Linked DNA regions of Callithrix jacchus. The protein of the gene in region 7 binds, or shares a complex with, the protein of the main gene of each other region. Links are inferred from orthologs where the notes say so. Each region holds a gene or a part of one and is shown on either strand. Other genes may lie near its edges.

Evidence for each region.
Region 1: SNRPD1 (region 7) and DHX16 share a complex: the UniProt entries of both Homo sapiens proteins name them as parts of the minor spliceosome. The link is inferred for Callithrix jacchus from reciprocal best matches to the Homo sapiens genes SNRPD1 and DHX16.
Region 2: SNRPD1 (region 7) and SF3B2 share a complex: the UniProt entries of both Homo sapiens proteins name them as parts of the minor spliceosome. The link is inferred for Callithrix jacchus from reciprocal best matches to the Homo sapiens genes SNRPD1 and SF3B2.
Region 3: SNRPD1 (region 7) and SNIP1 share a complex: the UniProt entries of both Homo sapiens proteins name them as parts of the minor spliceosome. The link is inferred for Callithrix jacchus from reciprocal best matches to the Homo sapiens genes SNRPD1 and SNIP1.
Region 4: SNRPD1 (region 7) and CRIPT share a complex: the UniProt entries of both Homo sapiens proteins name them as parts of the minor spliceosome. The link is inferred for Callithrix jacchus from reciprocal best matches to the Homo sapiens genes SNRPD1 and CRIPT.
Region 5: SNRPD1 (region 7) and SCNM1 share a complex: the UniProt entries of both Homo sapiens proteins name them as parts of the minor spliceosome. The link is inferred for Callithrix jacchus from reciprocal best matches to the Homo sapiens genes SNRPD1 and SCNM1.
Region 6: SNRPD1 (region 7) and CWC27 share a complex: the UniProt entries of both Homo sapiens proteins name them as parts of the minor spliceosome. The link is inferred for Callithrix jacchus from reciprocal best matches to the Homo sapiens genes SNRPD1 and CWC27.

What each region holds. Positions count from the first base shown.
Region 1 is NC_133505.1:35,451,228-35,454,727, reverse strand, and holds part of DHX16 (pre-mRNA-splicing factor ATP-dependent RNA helicase DHX16), read left to right. Parts: intron 1-1,230; coding exon 1,231-1,371; intron 1,372-1,565; coding exon 1,566-1,728; intron 1,729-1,817; coding exon 1,818-1,936; intron 1,937-2,061; coding exon 2,062-2,129; intron 2,130-2,793; coding exon 2,794-2,956; intron 2,957-3,052; coding exon 3,053-3,214; intron 3,215-3,491; coding exon 3,492-3,500. UniProt on the Homo sapiens protein: Required for pre-mRNA splicing as a component of the spliceosome. Contributes to pre-mRNA splicing after spliceosome formation and prior to the first transesterification reaction.
Region 2 is NC_133511.1:123,134,727-123,138,226, forward strand, and holds part of SF3B2 (splicing factor 3B subunit 2), read left to right. Parts: coding exon 1-73; intron 74-225; coding exon 226-363; intron 364-539; coding exon 540-620; intron 621-813; coding exon 814-1,041; intron 1,042-1,910; coding exon 1,911-2,060; intron 2,061-3,023; coding exon 3,024-3,113; intron 3,114-3,221; coding exon 3,222-3,329; intron 3,330-3,500. UniProt on the Homo sapiens protein: Component of the 17S U2 SnRNP complex of the spliceosome, a large ribonucleoprotein complex that removes introns from transcribed pre-mRNAs.
Region 3 is NC_133508.1:74,105,689-74,109,909, forward strand, and holds the start of SNIP1 (smad nuclear-interacting protein 1), read right to left. Parts: upstream 2,801-4,221; 5' UTR 2,737-2,800; coding exon 2,513-2,736; intron 1,300-2,512; coding exon 1,197-1,299; intron 1-1,196. UniProt on the Homo sapiens protein: Required for pre-mRNA splicing as component of the spliceosome. As a component of the minor spliceosome, involved in the splicing of U12-type introns in pre-mRNAs. Down-regulates NF-kappa-B signaling by competing with RELA for CREBBP/EP300 binding.
Region 4 is NC_133515.1:68,132,468-68,136,700, reverse strand, and holds the start of CRIPT (cysteine-rich PDZ-binding protein), read left to right. Parts: upstream 1-1,433; 5' UTR 1,434-1,532; coding exon 1,533-1,548; intron 1,549-2,969; coding exon 2,970-3,035; intron 3,036-3,788; coding exon 3,789-3,843; intron 3,844-4,233. Other genes in the region: PIGF (GPI ethanolamine phosphate transferase, stabilizing subunit), read right to left, coding at 1-77, 778-1,032. UniProt on the Homo sapiens protein: As a component of the minor spliceosome, involved in the splicing of U12-type introns in pre-mRNAs. Involved in the cytoskeletal anchoring of DLG4 in excitatory synapses.
Region 5 is NC_133519.1:11,058,873-11,063,042, forward strand, and holds the start of SCNM1 (sodium channel modifier 1), read left to right. Parts: upstream 1-1,370; 5' UTR 1,371-1,432; coding exon 1,433-1,483; intron 1,484-1,749; coding exon 1,750-1,820; intron 1,821-2,675; coding exon 2,676-2,764; intron 2,765-2,864; coding exon 2,865-2,962; intron 2,963-3,067; coding exon 3,068-3,156; intron 3,157-4,170. Other genes in the region: LYSMD1 (lysM and putative peptidoglycan-binding domain-containing protein 1), read right to left, coding at 379-558. UniProt on the Homo sapiens protein: As a component of the minor spliceosome, involved in the splicing of U12-type introns in pre-mRNAs. Plays a role in the regulation of primary cilia length and Hedgehog signaling.
Region 6 is NC_133503.1:144,762,449-144,766,397, reverse strand, and holds the start of CWC27 (spliceosome-associated protein CWC27 homolog), read left to right. Parts: upstream 1-1,149; 5' UTR 1,150-1,356; coding exon 1,357-1,398; intron 1,399-3,949. Other genes in the region: protein SREK1IP1, read right to left, coding at 723-735. UniProt on the Homo sapiens protein: As part of the spliceosome, plays a role in pre-mRNA splicing. Probable inactive PPIase with no peptidyl-prolyl cis-trans isomerase activity. As a component of the minor spliceosome, involved in the splicing of U12-type introns in pre-mRNAs.
Region 7 is NC_133514.1:64,593,271-64,596,770, reverse strand, and holds part of SNRPD1 (small nuclear ribonucleoprotein Sm D1), read right to left. Parts: intron 3,336-3,500; coding exon 3,144-3,335; intron 1,373-3,143; coding exon 1,296-1,372; 3' UTR 1-1,295. UniProt on the Homo sapiens protein: Plays a role in pre-mRNA splicing as a core component of the spliceosomal U1, U2, U4 and U5 small nuclear ribonucleoproteins (snRNPs), the building blocks of the spliceosome.

The DNA.
Region 1 (3,500 bases), on a different chromosome or scaffold from region 7:
GACCTCAGGTGATCCATTCACCTTGGCCTCCCAAAGTGCTGGGATTACAGGTGTGAGCCACCATGCCCGGCCAACAACCAGCTAATTTTTAGTAGAGATGGGGTTTTGCCATGTTGGCCAGGCTGGTCTTGAACTATTGGCCTCAAGTCATCTGCCTGCCTTGGCCTCCCAGAGTGCTGAGATTACAGGCATGAGCCACCACGTCCAGAGAAGTTTGGACTTTAGACAGCTTAGTAGCAATCAAAGGATTTTGAGCAGAGATGTAACTTTCATTCAACAAATATTTCATGAGTTCTTTCTGTGTGGTGCCAGATACACATGAGTTGATACAGTGATGCACAAAACAAAGTCCCTAGCCTACTTGTACTTGCGGTCTGTTGGGGAAACAGTAGATGCGTAAATACATAATGTCAATTTATGGCCAGTGCTGTGAAGAGATACAAGGCAGCATAGCAGGATGGAACTTGACTCCTGAGAGGTGGGGGTGAGGACTGGCATGAAGATATTTGTTTTGGGGTATAGGGAAGGCCCTTCAGTAAAGGGAAAGTGGAATAGAGACCAAACCAGGTGAGGGAGGAGCCAGGCTGATATTTGGGAGAAAAGTGCCACAGACAGAGGGAACAGCTGATGCAAATGAAATGATCCAGTGAGGAGTGCATGTACGTGGGCAGAGCAAAGCAGTGTGCAGGAGGAGTGAGGGAGGGGTTGGAGTGCTAGCAGATGAGGTCAGAAAGGCAGCTAGGGTAGGTGATCCAGGCTTTTAAGGGGATTGGATTGCATTCTAGAGTAGGATAGGAAACCACTGAAGGATGGGGAGTGATATGACATGTTTATATATTAAAAGGACCATCCTGGATGCCATTGACAGGTTGGGAGTAGAAACAGGGAGATGTGTTAGAAGGCTCTTACAGGAAGTGTTGTGTGAAGATGGAAGTGGTGGTGAGGAAGACGGGACAGGAACTTGAACACTCCCATTCCCCTTCTGAAAAAATTAACACCCTAAGTCCTCTTCTCCATTTTCTTTCCTCCTTGTGCCCCTGCTGACTCCCAGCCCCCATTTCCCTCTGCCCTGTCTTCTGTCCTTGTCCCTTGCTCTTGACCTTGGATACTAATTCCCTCAGCTCCTGCCCCTTACCGCAACTGCTTTACTACTTCTAACTTTCCAAGATGACTTTTTCTGGGTAACGAGGTTGGCAGGGTCACTGGGTGACCCCATATCCTCTCACTCAGGTGGTTGTGGCAACAAACATTGCTGAGACATCACTTACCATTGAGGGCATCATTTATGTGCTGGATCCAGGGTTCTGTAAGCAGAAGAGCTATAACCCCCGCACAGGAATGGAATCACTCACTGTCATACCCTGCAGTAAGGTCAGCTTGGGGATGCATGGGGGTCAGGGAGGTAGAATTGGTCCACAGGGAAGGTCCAACTCCAGAAGCAGGGTGGGGGCTTCTTAGCAAACGGGGATGAGCAGTTTACATCCATCTTAATTTCTTGCATAAATACTGCCCTTTTTCTTTTCCCCAACCAAATTGTCAGCTAGCCTGCTCGCCTTTCTTTCCAGGCCTCAGCCAATCAGCGAGCTGGCAGGGCAGGTCGGGTGGCTGCAGGGAAGTGCTTCCGCCTGTATACTGCCTGGGCCTATCAGCACGAGCTTGAGGAAACCACAGTGCCTGAGATCCAGAGGACTAGCTTGGGCAATGTCGTGTTGCTACTCAAGAGCTTAGGTGACTGGGCTACCTGAGAGAAGGGGGAGGTGGGCTGGAGTCATGGTCCTTTGAAGGGATTCTGTTCCATCCTTCCCACCTCTCTCTAGGGATCCATGACCTAATGCACTTTGATTTCCTGGACGCTCCACCATATGAGACACTGCTGCTGGCTTTGGAGCAGCTGTATGCCCTGGGAGCCCTCAACCACCTTGGGGAGCTCACCACGGTGAGTTGGTGGGCAGCATGGGTGGGGGCAGGATGATACGGGTCAGGATGGCTCCAGGGACCCCTATAGCAATGGAGAGAATCCTGAGGGAGGACCGGGCTCAACTCTCTGTCTTCTCTCCTTAGTCTGGTCGAAAGATGGCAGAGCTGCCGGTGGATCCCATGCTGTCCAAAATGATCCTAGCCTCTGAGAAGTAAGCCCTCCTCTCCACCCAGGCCCCCAGGCCTCCTCTGTCTCTGGGGTCTTCTTTGTCTCTTTGTCTTTTTCTCTTCATATTATTATTTAATAAATAATAAATTATTAGATAACTCTGAATGCCCCCTTTTGAGGCCCACAAGGGTAAGACACTTGATCCTTGATCCTGTCCTTGATTATACTAAATGGGCAAGACTGACTGACAGAAAATTCTGGGTCATGAACGAAAGTAGATTTTCCATCTGGGAGGGTTATTGAATGAGGGCTGGTTTTGGAACTTACTCATTCCCAAGGTTTCAAACTAGAACATTTAGATGTAGCTGTGGAGGGACCACCTTTAAATGCCATTCCTCTGCTGTCGAGATCTTTTCCGAATGCACATAGTGAATGCACACTTTCTGTAGAAACCTCAGAAGTCCCCAGTGTTTTCTGCTCCTGCCTCCATGGATATCCCTCCCTTGTGACTGTGTTTCATCTATGCTCCTACCTCCTTGACCCTCAAGCTGCTGCCAGAATCTATCTGCTGGCTGCTTTGTAACCATTATGCCAACCAGCCTTCCCCACATGAGGAAACATCCATCACACAGCGGTCACTTCCCCCTCTACCATATCTGTGCTTATGTGTCTTGCTTTGAACTCGTGCTTTCCCCTTCCTGTCCCAGGTATAGCTGTTCAGAGGAGATCCTGACAGTGGCTGCCATGCTGTCTGTCAACAATTCCATCTTCTACCGGCCAAAGGACAAGGTTGTCCATGCTGACAATGCCCGTGTCAACTTCTTCCTTCCTGGTGGTGACCACCTGGTTCTGCTAAACGTTTACACACAGGTCACTGGGCTTGGGTGAGTGGGAAAGAGACATGGGGGGACTTCAGTCTCGCTGTACACTTAACTACCTCTCCTTTCTTTTTAACTCTCTTCCCAGTGGGCTGAGAGTGGTTACTCTTCCCAGTGGTGCTATGAGAACTTTGTACAGTTCAGATCAATGCGCCGAGCCCGAGATGTGCGGGAACAGCTAGAAGGGCTCTTGGAACGTGTAGAAGTTGGTCTCAGTTCCTGCCAGGGGGACTATATCCGTGTACGCAAGGTCAGCATTTCTTTTGCCTACTGCCTTCTACCCGCAGTAGCTTCCTGGTGGCATGCAGCAGCTCCTCCAGCCTGAGGACATGCCCTCTTCCCCTTATGTACCACATTTCCTCCCAGGGCTTTCTTCCCCAGACCACTGAAGGTTCATTCCTGGGGGATTCTTCATGCCTTCCCTACCTCGCTAGTTTTCCCAAAGCTTGAACTAAAAAGGTAGTGAGCACTTAGGGTCCCCAGATATCTGCCTTTTCCATTGATTTTCTTTCCTGCCTTCCCCTTAGGCCATCACT
Region 2 (3,500 bases), on a different chromosome or scaffold from region 7:
GTATGTGACTGAAGAACCAGAAATTTATGAGCCCAACTTTATCTTCTTTAAGAGGATCTTTGAAGCTTTTAAGGTACAAAAGAGCACACTTGAAAGGGGCAGTGCCAAACAGGGAAGGGGCTCAGAGGTGGGTGAGAGGCAGGGAACAGGCATCTTTTCAGTGCTGGTTTTAGGAACTGGGAAGGGACCCAGATGGCAGGGGTTTCACTTTGTCTGCCTCCTCAGCTCACTGATGACGTGAAGAAGGAGAAGGAGAAGGAGCCAGAGAAACTTGACAAACTGGAGAACTCTGCAGCCCCCAAGAAGAAGGGCTTTGAGGAGGAGCACAAGGACAGTGATGACGACAGCAGTGATGACGAGCAGGTCAGGTCTGGCTGTCCTGGCGGAAAGCAGGGACTCTGGGCACAGGTGGCTGAGAGGCATCCAGAGAGGGACCATGGTGAACTCTTGAAGAGCTTCGGTGGCTTAAGGTTGGGGTGGGTTGGGCAATTTCATTCACATCTGAGTCCTGCTCGAAAGAGGTGATTGTTCCGTTCTAGGAAAAGAAGCCAGAAGCCCCCAAGCTGTCCAAGAAGAAGTTGCGCCGAATGAACCGCTTCACTGTGGCTGAACTTAAGCAGGTGAAACTGAGAGGATCCTGCGGGCCCTGGAGCCCAGCTGGGAGACAACCTGGGAAGCCAGGGAGGTGACAACTTTGAAGGAAGTGTTGTGGGTGATTTGGGTATAGGTCCTTTGAGGAAGAGGAATGGGAAGAAGAGCTTCAAACCTGAGAAGTTGGGGCTTTCAACACACGCATTCCTGTGTGTTTTCCAGCTGGTGGCTCGGCCCGATGTCGTGGAGATGCACGATGTGACAGCGCAGGACCCTAAGCTCTTGGTCCACCTCAAGGCTACTCGGAACTCCGTGCCTGTGCCACGCCACTGGTGTTTTAAGCGCAAGTACCTGCAGGGCAAACGGGGCATTGAGAAGCCTCCCTTCGAGCTGCCAGACTTCATCAAACGCACAGGCATCCAGGAGATGCGAGAGGCCCTGCAGGAGAAGGTGAGGTCCTGGCAGGGCTCACACTTGCCCTCGGGTGTCCCCATCATTCACAGCAGAGTGCTGCAAAATGGGAACCTGGTTTGAAACCCACCTACCACCTACTTGTTACTTGTCTAATTATCCCTTTGTTTTCCTCCTCTGCTTTTCCTCTCCTCTGCCTTCACTTTGCCAGCTCACCTGGTGACTCGTTTCCCAGATGCACTTTGTGGCTACAGATTGATGGTGGTTGTGTAACTTCTTACATTTTTTTTTTAAGAAGGAGTCTTGCTCTGTCACCCAGGCTGGAGTATAGTGGTGCAATCTCCGCTCACTGCAACCTCCACCTCCTGGGTTCAAGCGATTCTCCTGCCTCAGCCTCCCAAGTAGCTGGGACTGCAGGTGTGTGCCACCATGCTTGGCTAATTTTTTTGTATTTTTAGTAGAGATATGGTTTCACCATGTTAGGATGGTCTGGATCTCCTGACCTCGTGATCCACCCGCCTCAGCCTCCCAAAGTGCTGGATTTACAGGTGTGAACCACTGTGCCCAGCTGTAACTTCTTAATTTTAAAGCTTTTAATTAAATGCTTTGGACTCAGGAGGTACAAAAGAGCATGGGGAAGTCTCTGCCTTTCAGAGAACTGATGAGGTTCAGCTTTGGTGAGATGGTTTAATAACTAGTTATTGGTATACACAGCTGAGGCTGATACGGTGTAGTCTATTTTGTTGAGTATGGATAATGTTTTGAAGGGTTTGAGCAGGAACGATCTTGGTGACTTTCAGGGTGACATAATTGAGGCTTCTCTTGATTTCTTTTGGAGCTGGAAGCTGGATTCTCTACATGAATTTGGTGAGTACTTGTTAAAGCTTGTCTTTTGCCATTCTCCACAGGAAGAACAGAAGACCATGAAGTCAAAAATGCGAGAGAAAGTTCGGCCTAAAATGGGCAAGATTGACATTGACTACCAGAAACTACATGATGCCTTCTTCAAGTGGCAGACCAAGCCAAAGCTGACCATCCATGGGGACCTGTACTATGAGGTTTGGGAGGGGGCTGGGAGAGGCCAGTTTGGGCCTTGGGGTTGAGACTGCCTAGGGCTTTTTTTTTTTAAATGGAGTCTCACCCTGTTATTCAGGCTGGAGTGTAGTGGAATGATCTGGGCTCACTGTAACCTCTGCCTCCTGGGCTCAAGCAGTTCTCCCATCTCAGCCCCTCAAGTAGCCAGGACCACAGGCACACCATGCCTGGCCAACTTTTTTAATTTTTGGTAGAGACAGAGTTTCGCTATGTTGTCCAGGTTGGTCTAGAACTCCTGAGCTCAAGCGATCTGCCCACCTCAGCCTCCCAAAATAAACCACTGCACCTGACCCAGGAGGGCTTTTGAAGTGACTACAGTAGTTCCTCAGCCTTAGAATTGCCCATTGACTACCTTCAGATGAGATGGACTTTAAAAATGAGGTCCTTTTTGAAGGAGAGATGCAGACCTGGTGACTTCTTTGTCGGATAGACTTTTCGTATCCTGTCTTTGAAATGATAATAGTTGGTGGTTGTTGGTTTAGGGATGAAGGAGCCAAGGGGAAGATGCTTTTAGGAAACTTAACACTGAGGGTGGTAGACAAGTTGGTATTTTCTGATCCTTGAAATCGTAGTCACCATGATGTCATGGAATTTATGAGGTAGAAGAATTAAATGCAGATTATCCCTTTGAGTGCCCTCATTTTACAGATGAGAAGGCAGGTCCTAACGTTGGCCATGTTCTCACAGTGGGTTATTGACAGCACTGGGAATCTGGGCTTTTCCCCTCCGCCCTGGTTTATATTCCTTCCCCCACTTTGGCCAGGGAAAGAAGTGATGAGAATCAGAGTGGGAGCCAGCTAGCCCTCAGTGGGATTTTCTATCTGATGTGGGTTAGGACTTCTCGCCTTTGTTTTCACATCCTCTTGCGGTTGTGCTCCCACTGAGTGTCTGGGTCTACAATGCAGTATGCTCTGCTTTTCCCTCAGGGGAAGGAGTTTGAGACACGACTGAAGGAGAAGAAGCCAGGAGATCTGTCTGATGAGCTAAGGATTTCCTTGGGGATGCCAGTAGGACCAGTGAGTGTCAGTGGGCTGGGGAAGCAGTGAAGAGGGTGGGGATTGGGGCAGAAGGCAGAGTCAGGGATAGGGTTTGGCAGATGGTATCCTGTTCTCTTTTTCATGCAGAATGCCCACAAGGTCCCTCCCCCATGGCTGATTGCCATGCAGCGATATGGACCACCCCCGTCGTATCCCAACCTGAAAATCCCTGGGCTGAACTCGCCCATCCCTGAGGTGAGCATTGTCATTTTGTTTGTTCAGTTCTGCTGTCTCTGCTTTTGAACTGGAAGGTAATTTTTTTGTTTTCCTTCTCTGACTCCACTACGTGTCTCTTTTTTATTGACACATCATATTTGTCACATACCATGTGTTTCTAGAAAAACAAAGAATGGTTTTTGTTTTTTA
Region 3 (4,221 bases), on a different chromosome or scaffold from region 7:
GTGCCCTCCAAAATTAGCTTGTTGAAGTACCAAACGCAAGTACCTCAGAATGTATTAATAGCCGTATTTGGAGATGAGGTCTTTACAGAGCTGATTAAGTTAAAATGAGCGTAGGGCCCTAATTCAATATGGCTGAGAAAAGACACCAGGACAGGAGAAAGATCATGTGAAGATGTAGTAAAAAGGTAGCCATCTACAAGCCAAGGAGAGAGGATGTTTTTCAGGAGAATCCAGACCTGCTAACATCCTCATCTTTGACTTCTAGCCTCCAGAATTACAAGAAAATGAATTTCTGTTGTTTAAACCACGTACTCTATGGCATTTCATTATGGTGGCCCTAGTAAACTAATACAGCCACTCTGGAAAACAGTCTGGTAATTGCTTAAAAAAATTAAACCTGCAACTACCATACAATCCAGCAATTGCACTTCTGAGCATTTATCCCAGAGAAATGAACTCTTATGTTCGCATATAATCCTATACACAAATGTCTATATAGCAGCTTTATGTGTAATAGCCAAAAAATGGAAACAAGCCAGATGTTCTTTAATGAGTGAGTGGCTAAATCCATGCTATTGGATATCACTCAGAAATAAAATGGAACAAACTACTGAGAGATGCAACCTGAATCAATCTCTGAAGGATTCTGCTGAGTGAAAAAAAGACAATCCTAAATTAGGTTACACATTGTATGATTCCATTTATGTAATATTCTTGAAATGAAAACATTACAGAAATGAAGAACAGATTAGAAGTTGCCAGAAGTTAAAGAATGATAAAGGTGGGAGATGAGTGGGTGTGGCTACAAAAGGAGAACAGGAGGTATTCCTTGTGGTGAAGGAAATGTTATCTTGACTATACTGATGTCAATATTCTGATGGTGATGCTGTACCACAGTTCTGTTATGAATAGATGTTACCACTGGGAGAAACCAGGCAGAGTATATCTCTCTGAATTATTTCTGACAACTGCATGTGAACCAACAATAATCTCAAAATAAAAAGGTGAATTTCAGCAAACAAGCAGAAAAAAAGAAATATACCCAATTTTCAGAAAAGCCCATTGGAAGTACAAGTAGAAATGTAGGCGAGTGTGCGTGCACACACACACACAACACACATACACAGCCCTCTCTAGCTATGATAGGAAAAGGCTCTCTATGTGGCCCCAACATCAAAACACCCCAATCCACTTACCTGCTTCACTTTGACTGTTGAGTGGTGAGGACTTCGGGTCCTCTTACTCCGAGGAGACTTGCTTCTTCTCCCTGAGGACTTGTTTTTCTTTTTGGGTGGGGACCTATACAAAGCATGGTACATACAGGATTTTACTCAATTTCCCTTCCCCCATAAAAATTAGCTTCCAGTATCAGGCTTACATACTAACACAAACACCACATTTGTGAAGGTCTCTGACAGACACATTATAGTCACGAGGTTCACTTTCCTAGCCCTAACATCTCCCTCGCATTCCACACTCACAAAGACAACTCTCTACTGAACCTTCTCACTTAGATAACATAGCTCTTAGTTCCCAAGCCTTCAAAAACCTTTCCTCTCCTACTCTTTGCCATCTTGTTAATTGGCATCACCATCCAGAAGTCACCTTTGACTCTTTACCCCTCACTACCAACACCCCTACCATCAATAACAATTTATCCATCCTGTGGTTCTGCTTCCTGCCTATACCATCTCATTCCTACCACCCACCTGCTTGACCACTATACTCCACTGACACTGGCTTTTTCCCATTTCAATCATGATTCATTCTACTTCAAGTGCTTTGCACATGTTGTTTCCTCTGCCTGGATCTTTCAGAGGCTGGATCATTCCTATCAGTCAGGTCGCAGTTCAAATGGCACCTCTTTAGAGGCCTCCTCCCTCTTCTCTCCAATCTCTCACTATCACAGTACTGTTTTAACCTGTCAATAATACTTGTTACTAACTGAAACCCACTTTATTTATTTCTTGTTATTGTCTGTCTCAGGGCTAGATTTGGAAACGGTGAAGACCATCTAACTGAATCACCCTTGCAGCCCCAAAACCTAGGGCAGTCTTTTAACACTTAACAGGCACTCAGTAAAACTACGCTGAAGGAACGCATAAATCTATGTGAACTTTTTTTTTTAGTTTCTGTCGACGTGAAAACTTTTTGGGCAGGTAATTGTAAAGACAACGCCCGCACTCCATTCCTCCATTCGGGATGAGGAGAATCTCATTCCAATTTAACAGATTATCTGTGCTACCTGCTGAGCCACACTTTGCAAAGTGCTGGGGACACAAGAATGGAGGGACGGGATCCTGCCAGTTAGGCATTAGGCGTTGAACACCGAGCTATCATGCAAGTGACTGAGCAAGCATAACACAGGCACGACTGGATCACTCTCAACCGCCTCTGGATTAGGTCCGGGCTAGCTGCGCCCAGCATTCAAAACCCGTTTCGGACGCTAGCCCTGCCCGCCTTTCTGAATGAGCCCAACCCTAGGTCCATCCTGGGCTGCTCCCCCACTTACCGGCTAACTCCTCGGGCTCGGTTCCCGCGGTGGCCCGGGCGGCTCGGCTCGCTGGCCGGCGGGGAAGGGCTACCGCCGGAGTGGTCCGGACGACGGTGGGCGGGAGGGGCGGCTTCCGGGCTGAGACGCTCCTGCTTCACCACCACCGTCGCCGGCAGCACCACATCCACGTCCCGGTGTCTTCGCCGGCTCCCTCGCTCCCGTTCGCTCTTCACCGCCTTCATTCTGTGATTTTGCCTGAGCGAAAGAAAACAGATCCGTTGAGCTCCTCTAGCTGAAGGAAATGACGTGTTTGACTCCTGGATTTCCGCTTCCGGGGTGCCCCGGTTCCCATATATCTTCGCGGCAGAGAGATTAAACAGGTGACGACTCCCCAGTGAGCGTGGTCAGTGACTAGGTTTGGTGGCAGGAGTTTCGGGTTTCAAAAACAAACTTCTGGCCTGGCGCGGGGGCTCACGTCTGTAATCCCAGCACTTTGGGAGGCCGAGGCTGGCGGATCACCTGAGGTCAGGCGAGCATCCTCGCCAACACGGTGAAACCCCGTCTCTACTAATGATACAAAACAATTAGCTGGGCATGGGGGCGTGCGCCTGTAATCCCAGCTACTCGGGAGGCTGAGGCAGGAGAATCGCATGCACCCGGGAGGCGGAGGTTGCAGTTGCAGTGAGCTGATTGCGTCACCGCACTCCAGTCTGGGCTACAAGAACGAAACCGTCTCAAAAAAAAAAAAAAAAAAGAGCAGGGCTGGGCGTGGTGGCTCACGCCAGCACTTTCGTAGGCTGAGGCAGGCGGATCACTTGAGGTCGGGGGTTCGAGACCAGCCTGGCCAACACGGTGAAACCCTGTCTCTACTAAAAATACAAAAATTAGCCTGGTATGGTGGTGCAAACCTATAATCCCAGCTATTTAGGAGGCTGAGGCAAGAGAATCGCTTGAACCCAGGAGGCGTAGGTTGCAGCGTGCGGGGATTGCACCACAGCACTTCAGCCTGGGTGACAGAGACATCACAAAAAAAAAAAAAAAACCTGGAAAAAAGCAAACTTCTCAAGGCTGTTTGTTGCCACGTTATTAGTAATTACAAAACGTGAAAACAATGTAAATGCTCAGCAATAGGGAAGTTAGCCAAATTAATGGGTGTTATGTGGCCATTAGTAAACCATTTACAAACTCTAAAACATGTTAACGATAAAGCAGGATACAAAATTGTGCACAAACTGTAATTACATTTACATTTGGAAATAGAAGGGAGAAAGAAATGGAAATGCAATCAGAGATGAGAACCCATGGTCAAATCATTAGCGTTTCCTCTTCTGTTTAATAAACTTTCTGCAATGCTGTTGGGGCTCAGAAACTGAAACCCCAAAATAAGGCACATTGACTTGCTGAACTGAAGAAGCCTCGATGTTCCTTCCTTGAATCCACCGTCTCTCCCAAAGCACAGGACTTTATCTGTCTAATATCCAGACTACCAAAAGGAATAATTGTTTCTTTCTTCTCCTCCCAATAATGTAATCACACCTGACCAGAGACCCTTATACTGTCAAAAGAGCTATTTACAGCTAAGTACAGTGGCAGCAGCCTGTAATTCCAATGCTTTAGAAGTGCAAGACAGGAAAATCGTTTGAAGTCAGGAGTTCGTGATCAACCTGCCCAATATAGCAAGACTCTGTCTCTATAAAAAATTAAATTGTCAGGGACTGTTGCCTCGA
Region 4 (4,233 bases), on a different chromosome or scaffold from region 7:
GAAAATATGCATAAAAGATGGGTATACAGTAGTCTTTTGATATCGGTATCTTTCATGGTGTTTTCCTGGGTGGCTAGCTAATAAAAAACAAGAAGAGCATATGCAATAATGACTTTTTCCATTGTCCAAAATGTTTCAACCCCTACAAATAAGTCATAAAGTCAATTTCCTATGGGCAATGTATTTGTTTCAAAACACCTGGACCTTATAATAGGTGAAGGGGAGAAAGGCAGCAAATCACACTGCCACGTGTGTACCTATGCAACAATCTTGCATGTTCTTCACATGTACCCCAAAACCTAAAATGCAATTTAAAAAATTGCTCTCACTTAATTCACCCAATGCTTTTCAAAGGCAGATACTTTACTGATAAGGAAACACGACAAACAGGTAAGGAGGTCCAAGTTCTCAAGAGCTACAGCCCTCTCTCTGGTACAACGAAATAAAGGGATGGAGAAGGAAACGGATGGCAAGAAGGGACAAAGGGAAAGTTTCCTATAGATTCTATCTTAAGCTGATTGAGGGAGGGCAATCATCAGGAATCCATCCTCACAACAAACCCTTCATCCATTTTTCTGAGCCACCCTCGGAATCGCAGCTGCCAACAGGAGATGCTCCTACAATAAGCAGGAACCAAACTCAAATGTTTGCTGAACGAATGAAGGAACCAGAGTATGTAAAGTGGGAAACTAACTCTCCTGGGAAACCCACACCGTGTTAGGCCCTGGCGTGCCCCCAGGACACCTACAAGGGTGCCACGGGTATGACCTGGCCCACCTCGCTAGGCACCGCAGCAGAGAGACGGCGCTTCCGAGCGGCCCCCAGAGGAGCCCTCGCGGGCATCGCCGCACCTTCACTGGCAGCCCCACCCCAACCTGGGTCGCTCGGGATTCTGCCCGAGCCTAGGCCGGCGCGAGCGTCGACAGCCAGGAACCAGCAGAGAGGCAGGATCAAAGAGCACGGGAGTTGGAGACAAGGGAAAACTGGGGGACAGAGGCAGAAACTCGGATCCGAAAGGGGGGGTCTGTCCATCAGAGCACGCCGGAAGAGTGGCGCTCGAGCTGAGGGCGAGAGCGGGCGGGCCGGGACGCCAAGGCTCACGGCTGCTACGGCAGTTCGCGGGGGTGGCTTGCACCCCGGGGGGCGAGATCGCCGGGGGCGTACATTGGGGCTTACCTAACTCTCCCACCCGCGGAAGGGAAGCGGGGAACTACTGCCTCCTACCATCAGGTACGACGTGCTACCCAGGCCCACCCGCAAGCGCAGGGTTAAGGGGCGGAGATCCAGGGCCGCATAGCCAGTAGCAGAAAGAGAGGGGCGGGCAGATGGGGCAGCCCCGCCTAGACGCTCCCGTTCATTCCTCCCGCGGCCTTCCAAGTTTGGGCTAGACCGGAGCGGCGTGCTTAGAAGCCGGAAGTGGGTTGACGTAGCCCGGAAGGGGAAGCCGTCCGGGTTTTAGTTTTGATGTTTTCGGGCTGCTGTTGCTGCTGCTGCTGCTGCTGTTGCGGCTAGGGGAACCGTCGTGGGGAAGGATGGTCTGCGAAAAATGTGAGTTAAGGGGCTCCTCCTGCGGGAGGAAGAAACTGGGGGAACCTAAATGAACTCTCCCGGGAACTCTGCCTTCTCTTTTGTTTTTTCTTCGCCCACATCTTTGATTCTAGTCGCTGTCCTTCTGCTCTACCCTTTGACCATTTTTGCACCTCCCCAAAGACCATATAGTCCTATAGTATATTTTGTTTTCAGAATGGTCTTAGTTCTGCATCTCCTTGTCTATTTCCATTGCCTTCCCCCAGCTCCAGATCTCATCAGCTCCCCTCCCGTATAAAAATGTTCAGTTAAACCCCAATCACACCTTTCCCTCTTGCAATTCCTGACCTTTCCTTTTTATTCATGTAACACACTAGAACCAAAGACCAAGGACCTCGTCTTACTCATTCCTGTTAGTCATTATGCCAGAATATGGCTTAGAGTAAGCCCAGAAGATGTGTGAATTGAACATCAACGCAAGTGCAAGTTACTATTTCCCTAATTTAACACCTTTAATAAATTCTCAGTGTGCAGAGAACAATGTGGGGATTCTGTATTTGGAGCCTGACGTTCAGGACCCTCCGCAATAAGGCCCCAACTTATTTTTCCAGCTTCATCTTCACTGATCCTTACCCTCTTCACACTTTGACCAAACGTAACTACCCTTTGTGCCCATGTGTACTCGGAGCTTTCCATGCCTTTCCTCAGAATGTGTCCTTTATCAGTCTGCCTTTATCCTCTTTACTCCTTTTTGTTCACAGTCCTATTGCCACATATTCAAATCCTCTCTCTTGCCTTCTCCCCAAACTTTCTTGGATTTCCTTAGCCAGGGTTATATCTTCCTGCATGGAATTTCACCTAGTACTTTAGCTCTCAATTATTACACCGTTTAATTTTTAGCTTATATTTTGGTTGAATGATTCTCAGGTTCTCTCTGAGAATCTGAAGAAAGCTATAGACTCTTGCCAGGAAAGAAAAAAAAAAGATATATAAAAGGTTTGTGTACAATTCTGCCTTGTTCACATATCTCTTAAGATCGACCTGTGGAACATAGATTAAAGATTGCTGTTAAACTACTGTACTATAATCTCTTTAAAATTTTGTCTGATTCATCACTTATTTTTTTCAGTAATTTGTATAGTTTATACATCATAGATGCTTAGTAAATATGTATGGAACAAATAGACTTGCCAGATTTGTTTAAAGTATAAACAAACAGAGAAAGCTTATTATAAGCCATCTTATTATCCTACGGATTTTACTGTGGATCAGTCATTCATTGCCCACAGTTAATACAAGTCTCAGTTCACTGACTGCTCTCCCAGCATTAACAGGCTCCTGCAGTAATAGGACTGTTGATACCATTGTGAACCTTAGGCACAATGTGATGCACTTATGAAATACTAAATTTTAAATTGCTTTTTACTATCTTATTATAACAGGTGAAAAGAAACTTGGTACTGTTATCACTCCAGATACATGGAAAGATGGTGCTAGGAATACCACAGGTATTTCTTCTTTTAGAAAATAGGAATTTAACCAGAGACTCCTGTGAATATTTTATCTTTTACGTTATTTGTAAAATGAAATGTGTTCAAAGTATTTTGTCTATTAAACATGAAAGAATCCTGGGTCCCCAAGTTATTTAATATCTTCTACTTAGTTCTGTTACTTGTACAGGTTCCTAACATCAGGAGATAGCAAAATTATTAAATGATTGTCAAGTGGTGACAGTATCATAATATTTGATTTGATTCAGCTTATTTAGAGACTGCATTTAATTTCTCCGCTCTTCTGAGGAGAAATTTTTTTAAATCTGGTTTTTATATTCTTGAATAAATCCTTTAACCCATTTTACCTTCATTATCATTAATTACTTACAGTGAAGTATTTACCTTCATTATCATTAAATACATAAAGTATGTTTTCGAAGGGAAAGAAAAGAAACATAGACATTCAAGGTCTATGACACTGAAGTAGTGGGTTCTAGATTTTACAGTATATCAAGTAAATATAGACCCATTCCTAAGGTACTACCTTGAGTCTGAAAAATAAAATGATTGTATTTTATACAAATTTTTATTGTTTCTCTAATAAATGTTTTCTTTTTAAGCAGCGTCTTAATAACCTGACTGTTAAATGAAGATTTAAAAATTAGATATAGGCTACTAGTTTGGCAGAAAGTCAGAGAATGAACTTCTTAATGTTATATGTTAAATGTATAGAAGTAACCCTTTAAAATAACTTCTATTTTGATACAGAAAGTGGTGGAAGAAAGCTGAATGAAAATAAAGCTTTGACTTCAAAAAAAGCAAGGTGGGTAAGAGGATCCATAGAGAAGTCATATAATTTTCACTCTTTTAATGTTAAGCCTACTGGAGTGAATTTGATGTGCATCATTCCAATTGCAATAAAACATAGAGTTAGGTGGTTCCTGGCACTCAGAACCAAGCTATTTGTTATAACCTGCTGGTTTTACCTTATTCCTCCTTACTGTATGTCCCCCTCTGACTTCATATTGTACCATACTCCTCCTCATTCATCATATGCCATCCTCATTGGTTCTGCCAAGCCTCCCCCATCCAAAGAGATTTGTCCTTGCTGCTGTGTCCTCGAGGTCTTTACTGAGAGCTTACGTATCTGGCTCCTTGGTGTTTGGGTCTCAGCTGAAGGGTCTTTTCTCGGAGAGGTTTCCCTAATCAGCCT
Region 5 (4,170 bases), on a different chromosome or scaffold from region 7:
GAATCCCAAATCTGACACTCATTATTTGACCTTAGTCAAACTGGTTAACCAATCCAAGTCTCAGTTTCTTCATCTGCCAAAAGGAAACAATAAATGTACTTGATAGGGTGTGAGGGTGACATGAGCTAATGTATGTGAAGCCCCCAGCACAGTGTCTGGCATAGTAAAATTGGAGCTGTTCCTCTCCATTGGAATAGTAGGACAGGACTTGTCCCAACCCGGCAGTGCAACACTGTGATGGGAAAACAAAGATAAAGGCAGAACAGGTGTAACACTTTAGGAACTTTTCAGAGGAGTTTACCTAGAAAGGCCACTACATTCTTCTCAGGACTAAATCCCTCCTGACTGTTGTCTGCACCCCAATCCTGGAAAACTCACCGTCACCCCATATTTGAGTGCTAGTCCAGCCAGGGTGTCTCCAGGCTCCAAGTGATGCTCCAGGCGTCTCTCCCTCACTGGGGAGCAGGCCGATTGCACGAGGCTTCCATATGAACGAGCCCGGCTCCCTTGAAGAAGTCCTGACCCCCCTGGGGGGGGCTGTCTAGACGGGGAAGCCATCTCTTCACCCTAACGACAGGTAGGGTTGCAACTGGGGAAGGCCCGGCCGAGACTAAGGGTGACAGGCCTTAAGTCTGGGAATGGATATTCAAGGGATTCCTTTCCCCTTCTCTCTTCCCCTGTGTCCCCGCCTCCCCGGCACTACGCCACCTGCCCCCTCCCGGTTTCTCCTCTCTCCAAGCTTGTTATCCACAAATCTGTCCCTTGAGTATTCAGTCCCTCCCTGAATCTCTCCCCTAAGCACCCCACCGACTGTGAACCCCCCACAACTCCTCGCTACATTGACCTCTGACCTTTGACCTCTAGAAATAATCCTCAACAGTCTTTCCTCAGTTTGCCCCCAAGTCCGGTAGCCTGGCCTCTGGGGGCTCTCGCATCCCGGGTCTGCCCGGTCCCGGGGTTCGTCCGCTAGGGTCAGAAACAAATCAGCCCACCCCAGGTGAACTGTCGCCGCAGATGAAGAGCGCGAAGATTGCGAGAGTCTGTAGTACACCTTCCACTCATCAGAGAGGTCACACCCTCACATTTCGGCTCCACATCTAGCTTCTTGTCCCTCCAAATGCCGCAGATCCGCCAGGATGCGAGGGCCTGGATCCAGCAGAGCGGCAAGCTCTTTGAGAAAAGACTTCATTTCCCAAAAGGCTCGGCGTCTGCAGTGTCGCAGGGCACCATAGGAAATGCAGTTCCCTCCGTGCACCAGCGAGTAGATTTCCGGACGCGCAAAGCCTGTGTGGAAGCGCATCCCCGGAAGTACGGAGGCCGACAGGAAGAGACTGAAAACAGAGAAAGAGTTGTCCCACTCTTGCTACGGTGGCCTGGAGGAGTTGAGAAACCGGAACAAGAGAATTTATCATTTCTGGGACTCACAGTCGTGATGTCTTTCAAGAGGGAAGGAGACGATTGGAGTCAACTCAATGTTCTCAAAGTAAGCGTGAGCAGAGAGGATCCAGGGCAGCTTCAGTCGCTCTCTGAAGGTTGGGAAGGAGCTTTGTTTTGTTGCACTGGCAACAGCTCGGGGGTGCGGGAGAGAAAGAGGCGACTTAGAGCTGGGTAGTGACACCTTTTTCGGTCTATGATCACTATTCTCCCCAGGGTCCTTATTCCATTTGACTCCTCATTTCTCTCATTTCACTTCCATCCGTTTCTCCTATCTGCTGATGCCGTCCGGATTTTTTCCCCTTCTCCCTGCAGAAAAGAAGAGTCGGGGATCTGCTAGCCAGTTACATCCCAGAGGATGAGGCGCTGATGCTTCGGGATGGACGGTAAGAGCGAGGAGTGGCCCAAGCCTGAGGGTTCTATGGTTAGAGGCTCAACAAACAAAAGATAGAGGTCTCTCTGTGTTGCCCAGGCTGTCCTCAAACTCTAGGGCTCAAGTGATCTTGCTTCCTCAGCGTCGCGAGTAGCTGGGATTACAGGCGGGCGCGACCATGCCCGGCTTCAACAAACTTTATTGATTGATTGATTGATTGATTGAGACGGAGTTTCGCTGTTGTTACCCAGACTGGAGTGCAATGGCACGAACTCGGCTCACCGCAACCTCCGCCTTCTGGGTTCAAGCAATTCTCCTGCCTCAGCCTCCCGAGTAGCTGGGACTACAGGCACGCACCATCATGCCCAGCTAATTTTTTTTTTCTTTTGAGACGGAGTTTCGCTCTTGTTACCCAGGCTGGAGTGCAATGGCGCAATCTCGGCTCACCGCAACCTCCGCCTCCTGGGTTCAGCCAATTCTCCTGCCTCAGCCTCCTGAGTAGCTGGGATTACAGGCACGTGCCACCATGCCCAGCTAATTTTTTTGTATTTTTAGTAGAGACGGGGTTTCACCATGTTGACCAGGATGGTCTCGAACTCTTGACCTCGTGATCCACCCGCCTCGGCCTCCCAAAGGGCTGGGATTATAAGCATGAGCCACGGCGCCCGGCCCCAAACTTTTGTTATTAATCAGGACAGCAGGAGTATCTAGGATTCCTTGGCCGGAAGTGAGGATCGGAAGAAGTGGGGATTGGATGACCTGGAGTTGGGCTTTGGAAAGGACTGCTAGGACAGGGTGGGACTTACTGTAGGGACTGGCCCCACCCTCTTCCCCTGGACCAATTATCCTCTTCTCTCCCCCTGCTCAGTTTTGCTTGTGCCATCTGCCCCCATCGACCAGTACTGGACACCCTGGCTATGCTGACTGCCCACCGAGCAGGCAAGAAACATCTATCCAGTAAGTTTGGGGAAAGACAGGGTATGGGGAATAAACCCTCGAAATTTCTGCACACCGCTCTTGGTGCTATGCTTTTAGTCTTGTTTCCCTTTCTCCTCAGGCTTGCAGCTTTTCTATGGCAAGAAGCAGCCAGGAAAGGAGAGGAAGCAGAATCCAAGACATCAGAATGAATTGAGAAGGGAAGAAACCAAAGCTGAGGTAATCAGAATGGAGAGTGTATTCTAGTCAAGACCCTGCTGCACACACCAGGCTGGAAGGGAAGAGGGCTGAAGCCTCTGACTCTGTCTCCCATCTCCTTATCAGGCTCCTCTGCTAACCCAGACACGACTTATCACCCAGAGTGCTCTGCACAGAGCCCCCGACTATAACAGTTGCTGCCGCCGGAAGTACAGGTATGGGAGGGGAAAGCCAGAGGTCGGAAGGCTCAGAAGGAGAAAGATGGCTCTAAAAGTTCTCCAATGTGAGGCCAGGCGCGTGGCTCAAGCCTGTAATCCCAGCACTTTGGGAGGCCGAGGCGGGTGGATCATGAGGTCAAGAGATCGAGACCATCATGGTCAACATGGTGAAACCCGGTCTCTACTAAAAATACAAAAAGTTAGCTGGGCATGGTGGCGTGTGCCTGTAATCCCAGCTACTCAGGAGGCTGAGGCAGGAGAATTGCCTGAACCCAGGAGGCGGAGGTTGCGGTGAGCCGAGATCGCGCCATTGCACTCCAGCCTGGGTAACAAGAGCTAAACTCCGTCTCAAAAAAAAAAGTTCTCCAATGTGTATTCTAAGGAACACTGGTATTCCGGAGATGTTACTTAGTGTTTCAAGAAAAGGAGAATTTTGGCCAGGCACAGTGGCTCATGCCTGTTATCCCAGCACTTTGGGAGGCCGAGGCAGGTGGATCACTTGAGGTCAGGAGTTCAAGACCAGACTGGCCAACATGGTGAAACCCCATCTCTACCAAAAATATAAAAAATTAGCTGGGTGTGTGACGTGTGCCTGTAATCCCCAGCTACTCGGGAGGCTGAGACAGGAGAATCGCTTGAACCTGGGAGGCAGAGGTTGCAGTGAGCCGAGATCATGCCACTTCACTCCAGCCTGGGTGACAGAGTGAGACTCCGTCTTAAAAAAAAAAATGGTGGGGGCTGGGTGTGGTGGCTCTTGCCTGTAATCCCAGCACTTTGGGAGGCTGAGGCGGGTAGATCACAAGGTCAGGAGATCGAGACCATCCTGGCTAACATGATGAAACCCTGTCTCTACTAAAAATACAGAAAATTAGCCAGGCATGGTGGTGGGCACCTGTAGTCCCAACTACTCAGGAGGGTGAGACAGGAGAATTGCCTGAACCTGTCGGGAGGGTGAGAGAGGAGAATTGCTTGAACCCAGGAGTTGGAGGTTGCAGTGAGCTGAGATCATGC
Region 6 (3,949 bases), on a different chromosome or scaffold from region 7:
GGGTGGAGGAGTGTATATTCCTGAAAATATCTCCTGCAACCAGTGTTCGCAAAGCCGGTTTAAGGAGATGCACTCCCCTACTAGAACTTCCAAGTAAGCTAGTAGTTGAGGACGAGAAAATCTTTTAATTATTCTGCGAGTTCACCATTTTTAGGGCAGTAACTTCTGGACACAGAATTTGAGACTCAGAAGAAATCTTATACATCATTCAACAAAGCTCCATGTTTTTATAAGAAAACTGAGGCCCAGAAGCACAAAGAGACCAATCTGTGGCCACAGAGCAGCTACCTACAACAGGAAAGGCTAGGAGTAGAACCCAGACACCCGGCAGGTCCTAGCGACTTCTAAGACAAACGATGGCTCCGGTTACCTGAGTCGGCCAAGTGTTTCCACTTCAAATTCTATTTTAAAGCCATACCACAGTTAAGGTAGTTTTTCTTGGCCGCCTGCCCCCTTAGGCCTACAATTACAGTCTCTCCCTTCTCCCTCCCTTCCACGATATACTTTCCCTGTAATCCCATGCAGTTGCGGGGGGAGGAAGATAGTTACTTTCTTTCCTTCAGAGTTTTTCTTTGGACTGTAAACTTTTTCACGTAAACAAAACAAACTCATGAATTTTAAGGCCTCCACCTAAATCCCCATGGGCGCTGCTCCCTACATCCTGCACCCTACCCTATCCTCCCTTGCGCTCCCTTCCGAGCTCGGACGCAGTGGCTCCTTACCTGGGACCGCCATGACGGTGGTGACAGGGGTCACTGCAGCCTCCGGCTTTCGAAAAGGCGCTTGCTTCCCGCCAGCTGCGAGGACAAGGCACAGCCAAAGCGGCGTTTGCCTTCCCCAGAGCGGCAGCACCTTCGCTACAGTCGGAAGGCCCTGTAAGCCTCTAGCGACAACAGAACCAGTAGACGCAGATGCGGTTTCCGGACGAGTCATATTGCAGAAGACACATGGTCCGGACCATTACTGTTAGTTTTGGGGGGTGCTGAGTGCGATCTGCACACGCAAGTAGTGAAGTAAACACCGCCAAAACTTACGAAGTGCCTCTTCTAATGTTGTAATACAAATTACATTAAGCCATAGTAGCTTTACAGACTTTTTTTTGTACCCAGGAGTACATTGGAATCACCCTTCTCAGCATTAGCGGTGCTCGGGTCCGATAACAACATGGCGGCGTCCGAGAGGGGTTGTTTTGGGCAAAGGTAGTGTTTGGTGTTCCTGTCTTGCGTGATGTTGACAAACTGAAGCTTTCCTGGACCACTCGACTTAACGAAGAGTGTGCTCGTAGGCGGACAGCTTTCGTGACCCGCCGTCCACTCTCATCCCCCATAAGGAGCAGAGTCCTTAGTACTGATCGCGATGAGCAACATCTACATCCAGGAGCCTCCCACGAATGGGAAGGTGAGAGCTTCATCTAGGGAACTTGGGGCCCTGAGATCCCCAAAATGAGATTTCCCGGATTTGGGGTGGGGAATGGGTTCAGGGATCTTGTGGTAGGAAGAGACCACGAGAAGTGTTGTCTTTACTTCTTCCTGTGGACAATGTTGCATCGAAACACTGAAGCTGGTACTTCTCAGCATGTACTTGAAAAAGTCAAGTGGAGATTTCCCTATCCAGCAGCGTTCCGGTCATATTTTCTGCCTTAACCCAACTCACGCAGCCTATATCTAGGGCCTTAAGTTTTTAAAAGTACATTTTTGAGTTTGATATATTCTTTGCTTAACTTGGAGGTCATTAATTCTCCATTTCTTCTACAGTCATTAATTGAACGCCTGCTAGCCACTGGGCACTGTACTAGGCGCCGGAGATACAAAGAGGCATAGGTAAGGTAGTTTTCCAGGAAGAGCTTACAGTTTAGAGACAGGCAGGTAAACAAAAGCCTTGTATGTCTGATAAGAGTGCTTGTAGAGAAGAGACCATGTTACTATGGTAATACTGAGTAGTGAACAATTGGGAAAGTTAGGAAAAGCATCATGGAGAAGCTATCTTTTGAGCTGGTTTTAAAACCTGAGATGACTGTCATTCAGAGAAAGGGGGAAATGGGGAATATTACCACATTAGAATGGAAAAATGTTTCTCTGATTGATTTAATGGCTAATGTATGCCAATTCCCATCCAAGGTGTTTGTATACAGTACAAGGCAGAAGAGTCAGTTGTAGAATAAGTATCACCTGAATTTTTATTTATTTATATATTTAAAGTATTTATTTTATTGCATTTTAGGTTTTGGGGTACATGTGAAGAACATGCAAGATAGTTGCATAGGTGCACAGCAGTGTGATTTGCTGCCTTCCTCCCCTTCACCTATATCTGGCATTTCTCCCCATGCTATCTCTCCCCAACTCCCCACCCCCCGCTGTCCCTCCCCTATTTTCCCCAATAGACCCCAGTGTGTAGTGCTCCCCTCCCTGTGTCCATGTGTTCTCATTGTCCAACACCCCCCTATGAGTGAGAACATTCGGTATTTCGTTTTCTGTTCTTGTGTAAGCTTGCTGAGAATGATGTTCTCCAGGTTCATCCATGTCCCTGCAAAGGACACGAACTCATCATTTCTGATTGCTGCATAATATTCCATGGTGTATATGTGCCACATTTTCCCTGTCCAGTCTATCATCCATGGGCATTTGGGTTGATTCCAGGTCTTTGCTATTGTAAACAGTGCTGCAGTGACCATTCGTGTGCATGTGTCCTTATAGTAGAACGATTTATATTCCTTTGGATATATACCCAGTAATGGGATTGCTCGGTCAAATGGAATTTCTATTTCTAGGTCCTTGAGGAATCGCCACATTGTCTTCCACAATGGTTGAACTAATTTACACTCCCAACAGCACTGTAAAAGTGTTCCTATTTCTCCACATCCTCTCCAGCATCTGTTGTCTCCAGATTTTTTAATGATCGCCATTCTAACTGGCGTGAGATGGTATCTCAATGTAGTTTTGATTTGCATTTCTCTAATAACCAGTGATGATGAGCATTTTTTCATGTTTGTTGGCCACATGTATGTCTTCTTTTGTAAAGTGTCTGTTCATATCCTTCACTTCCTTTTGAATGGGCTTATTTGTTTTTTTCTTGTAAATCTGTTTTAGTTCTTTGTAAATTCTGGATATCAGCCCTTTATCAGATGGGTAAACTGCAAAAATTTTTTCCCATTCTGTTGGTTGCCTATTCAATCTAATGACTGTTTTTTTTTGCCGTGCAGAAACTATGGAGTTTGATTAGGTCCCATTTTTCTATTTTGGCTTTTGTTGCCAATGCTTTTGGTGTTTTGGTCATGAAGTCCTTGCCTACTCCTATGTCCTGAATTTCGCCTAGATTTTCTTCTAGTGTTTTTATGGTGTTAGGTCTTATGTTTGTCTTTAATCCATCTGGAGTTAATTTTAGTGTAAGGTGTCAGGAAGGGGTCCAGTTTCTGCTTTCTGCACATAGCTAGCTACTTTTCCCAACACCATTTATTAAACAGGGAATCCTTTCCCCATTGCTTCTTTTTGTCAGGTTTATCAAAGATTGTATGGTTGTAGATTTGTTGTGTTGCCTCCGAGGCCTCTGTTTTGTTCCATTGGTCTATATCGCTGTTTTGGTACCAATACCATGCTGTTTTGATTACTGTAGCCTTGTAGTATAGTTTGAAGTCCAGTAGGGTGATGCCTCCCGCTGTGTTCTTTTTACTCAGAATTGACTTGGCTATGCGGACTCTCATTTGGTTCCATATGAAGTTTAAGGTGGTTTTTTCCAGTTCTGTGAATAAGCTCATTGGTAGTTTGATGGGGATAACGTTGAATCTGTAAATTACTTTGGGCATATGGCCATTTTCATGATATTGATTCTTCCTAACCATGAACATGGAATGTTTCTCCATATGTTTGTGTCCTCTCTTATTTCGTTGAGCAGTGGTTTGTAGTTCTCCTTGAAGAGGTCTTTACGTTCCTTGTTAGTTGTATTCCTAGGTATT
Region 7 (3,500 bases):
ACATTTAACTCCAAGTTTCAACTTGGAGAACATTAAAACTATACCCTATTGAGAACTGATTAAAAAGCAAAAGAAACAAAAATCAGCAGCTAGAAAACAAAAGCAATGACCCTTAATATAGAAGACAACTTTTTACCAAGTACCTTAGACTCTGTGGAGTAAAACTCAGGAACAGCGAAATTTTTTTTTTTTTTTTTTTTTTGAGACAGAGTTTCGCTCGTTACCCAGTCTGGAGTGCAATGGCAGGATCTCAGCTCACTGCAACCTCCACCTCCTGGGTTCAGGCAATTCTCCTGCCTCAGCCTCCTGAGTAGCTGGGATTACAGGCACGTGCCACTATGCCCAGATAGTTTTTTGTTATTTTTAGTAGAGACGGGGTTTCACCATGTTGACCAGGATGGTCTCGATCTCTTGACCCCGTGATCCACCCACCTCGGCCTCCCAAAGTGCTGGGATTACAGGCTTGAGCCACCGCGCCCGGCCCCCCAGGAATTGAGAATTTTAGACCCCATCCCACAAGGACTTTAGTTTCTGAAATACCAAAAAGAACTTACTTCCCCTTGTAGGTGGGTGCCACAGAATGATGTCAGAGTAAAGCAATAAAATGCACATTCAGTGCATGTGAAGTAAAAGGGTATATATTCTATATAAGTTTAGCCTAAAGTTGTCTCTTTACATATCTTAAGTTTAGCCTAAAGGTTTCTCAGTACAAAGTGAACTGCAGCCTAACTGGTTATGTAAACAGATGGTACCCTACTCTTGGGCCAATTACTAAGTTTCAGCCAATCAAAGGCTGCGAACTGTTCAACCTATATTCAAATAAGGCAAACGCTGAACTGTAACTAATCCAGCTGTTGCTGTATCTCACTTCCATTTTCCATACATCTCTTTCCTTCTTCTGTCCATAAATCCTCATCAACTATGCAGCTGGGCTGAAGCCTCTGAACCGATTCTGGTTCAGGGGCTGATTTATGAATTGTTCTTTGCTCAATTAAACTGTCAAATTTAATTTGTCTGAGGCTTTTCTTTTAACCTTATTTTTATTATCATAAAAATAAAAATTTTAGTTCAAAACTTAAAGCCTGATCATCTAAAAATGAAACTGCCCAGTAGAAATGCTTAGCTTTCACTGTGGTATTCTTATGAATGTGGAGGAAACTACTAAAACTCTGATATACTCAATAGACCACTCTGTCCCACATTTATGTTTATTAAAAACTGACATAAACAAACACAACCTGTACAAAAAATATCCCAGATCCCATATGACTTTGAAACAGTAATCATGAGAAACATTATCGCCTAGGACCCCCTCTTCCTCTGCCACGGCCACGTCCTCTTCCTCTGCCTCGGCCTCGGCCTCTTCCTGCAACTGAGGGAAAAGAAAAACAAAGCAAATTCAATTCTCTTCTGCATGAATGTTACCTAGCCACCACAAACAGCGTTTACACACAGACACCTTTCCCCGTTTATAGCTCTTTATTAGCAGTTACAGTAAAGTTAAGTTTAACTAGCTTCTCTTAAATGTGTTAAGACTTCAGATTTCCCGCCACCCCCTCAACACATTATCATGCAGAACCAAGAACTAAAGGCCTAGGAAGATTATTATTTGTTTCAATTTATTTACTAAGAAATTTGTCAAATTTTAAATATGTTTTCTTTATATCATGTCTCAAATTCACCATAAAATGATTTGAACCTCACAAAAAATGGAAGAGATATATCAATAGAACATGAATAACCTGATGCCAGAGTCTGGTAACTGAATAAAATCCAAGCAAGTTAATTCAAATCCAGGAAAGTTTATAACTATGATATCAATCACAATCTTATTAACTCTTCAGAAAATTAAAATTCATTTGACCCAAACATAATCTAGTGCTTTAACCCATATAGCAATATCCCTGTCACTTGGTCATCCTAACTCAAGTTGAGTATCATGATGACAGAGAACTCATCACCCAAATAAACATTTCATCTTCAGACAGCTATAAATATTAGAAAATCCTGATACAGTCACATTCTAAATTTTCTTTTGGATATAGGGTCTCACTCTGCAGTCCAGCCTTTACAGACCCACCACCATGCCCGGCTCTTTTTTGTGTGTTTTTAGTAGAGATGGAGTTTCACTATGTTGGCCGGGCTGGTCTCAAACTCTGACCTCAGGCGATCCACCCATCTGGGCTTCCCAAAGTACTGGAAGCCACCATGCCTGGCTTCTTTTTCTTTTTAAAGAAAGAAAATAGGTAAGGCTTGGTGGTTCACGCCTGTAATCCTAGCACTTTGGGAGGCCAAGGTGGGTAGATCACGGGGTCAAGAGATCAAGACCATCCTGGCAAACATGGTGAAACTCTGCCTCTACTAAAAATACAAAAATTAGCTGGGTGTGGTGGCAAGAGCCTGTAGTCCCAACTACTTGGGAGGCTGAGGAAGAATATTAGCTTGGATCTGGGAGGTGGACGTTGAAGTGAGCCAAGACCATACCATTACACTCCAGCCTGGGTGACAAGAGCGAGACTCCATCTCAAAAAAAGAAAACAAAGTTCTTTTAGTAGAGATGGGGTTTTTCCATATTGGTCAGGCTGGTCTGTTAAAGAGTCTCCATGCTGATCAGACTGGGAGTTCATCCTGCCCTCAGGTGATCCGCCCACCTCAGCCTCCCAAAGTGCTGGGATTATAGGTATGAGCCACTGCATCCAGCCTAAAAACAAATTTAATTTAATTTATTTATTTTTGAGACAGGATCTCACTCTGTGTTGCCCAGGCTGGAATGCAGTGGTGGCATCTTGGCTCACTGCAACCTCCACCTCCTGGGTTCAAGCAATTCTCCCACCTCACCCTCTCAAATAGCTGCAATTACAGACATGAGAAGCCCCTATACCAAGACATTAAGAAATTTCAGAATACTAGGAATAAAGAGTCCATCTCCAAATCTTCCAAAGTGGGGGCAGGGGACAGAAAATGATAAATCCTTTGAACAGGAAATACATCAATGTTTTTAACAGCAACTCCAGGAGTTATAATACATACTATAGGAAATATTAAGCAACAAAGACACTTGTGTTGTTTACAAATATTTATATTATGAGTAGTGTAGATTAGGATTGGCATTCAAAAAAATGTTTATATTCCTTCAAACTTACCTGCTTCCCTTTTCTTAGATTTCACCTTAGGTTCAACATCCACAAGTAGTGTATCCAGAGGTAAACTGTCTGGTAGAATAAAGTATCGAATGTTATTTCCTCGAATACTCAGCGTTTCCAGCTGTACAGGTTCTCTGTTCTTCAGGGTCATTTTCACAGCTTTAAGATGTGTATTCATGCTGACATCCACACCTCAAGAGGAAAAGAATTGGGCAGTTATTAGTATGATACAAGGAAGGCAACTAATTAATCTACCAAGCCACAGTAAATACTGGACTACAAAAGAATACTGTTCTGCTACAGTGTAAGTTTTCTGTGACACAATTTAGCACGTGCGACTGGTAAATGGGGGAATAA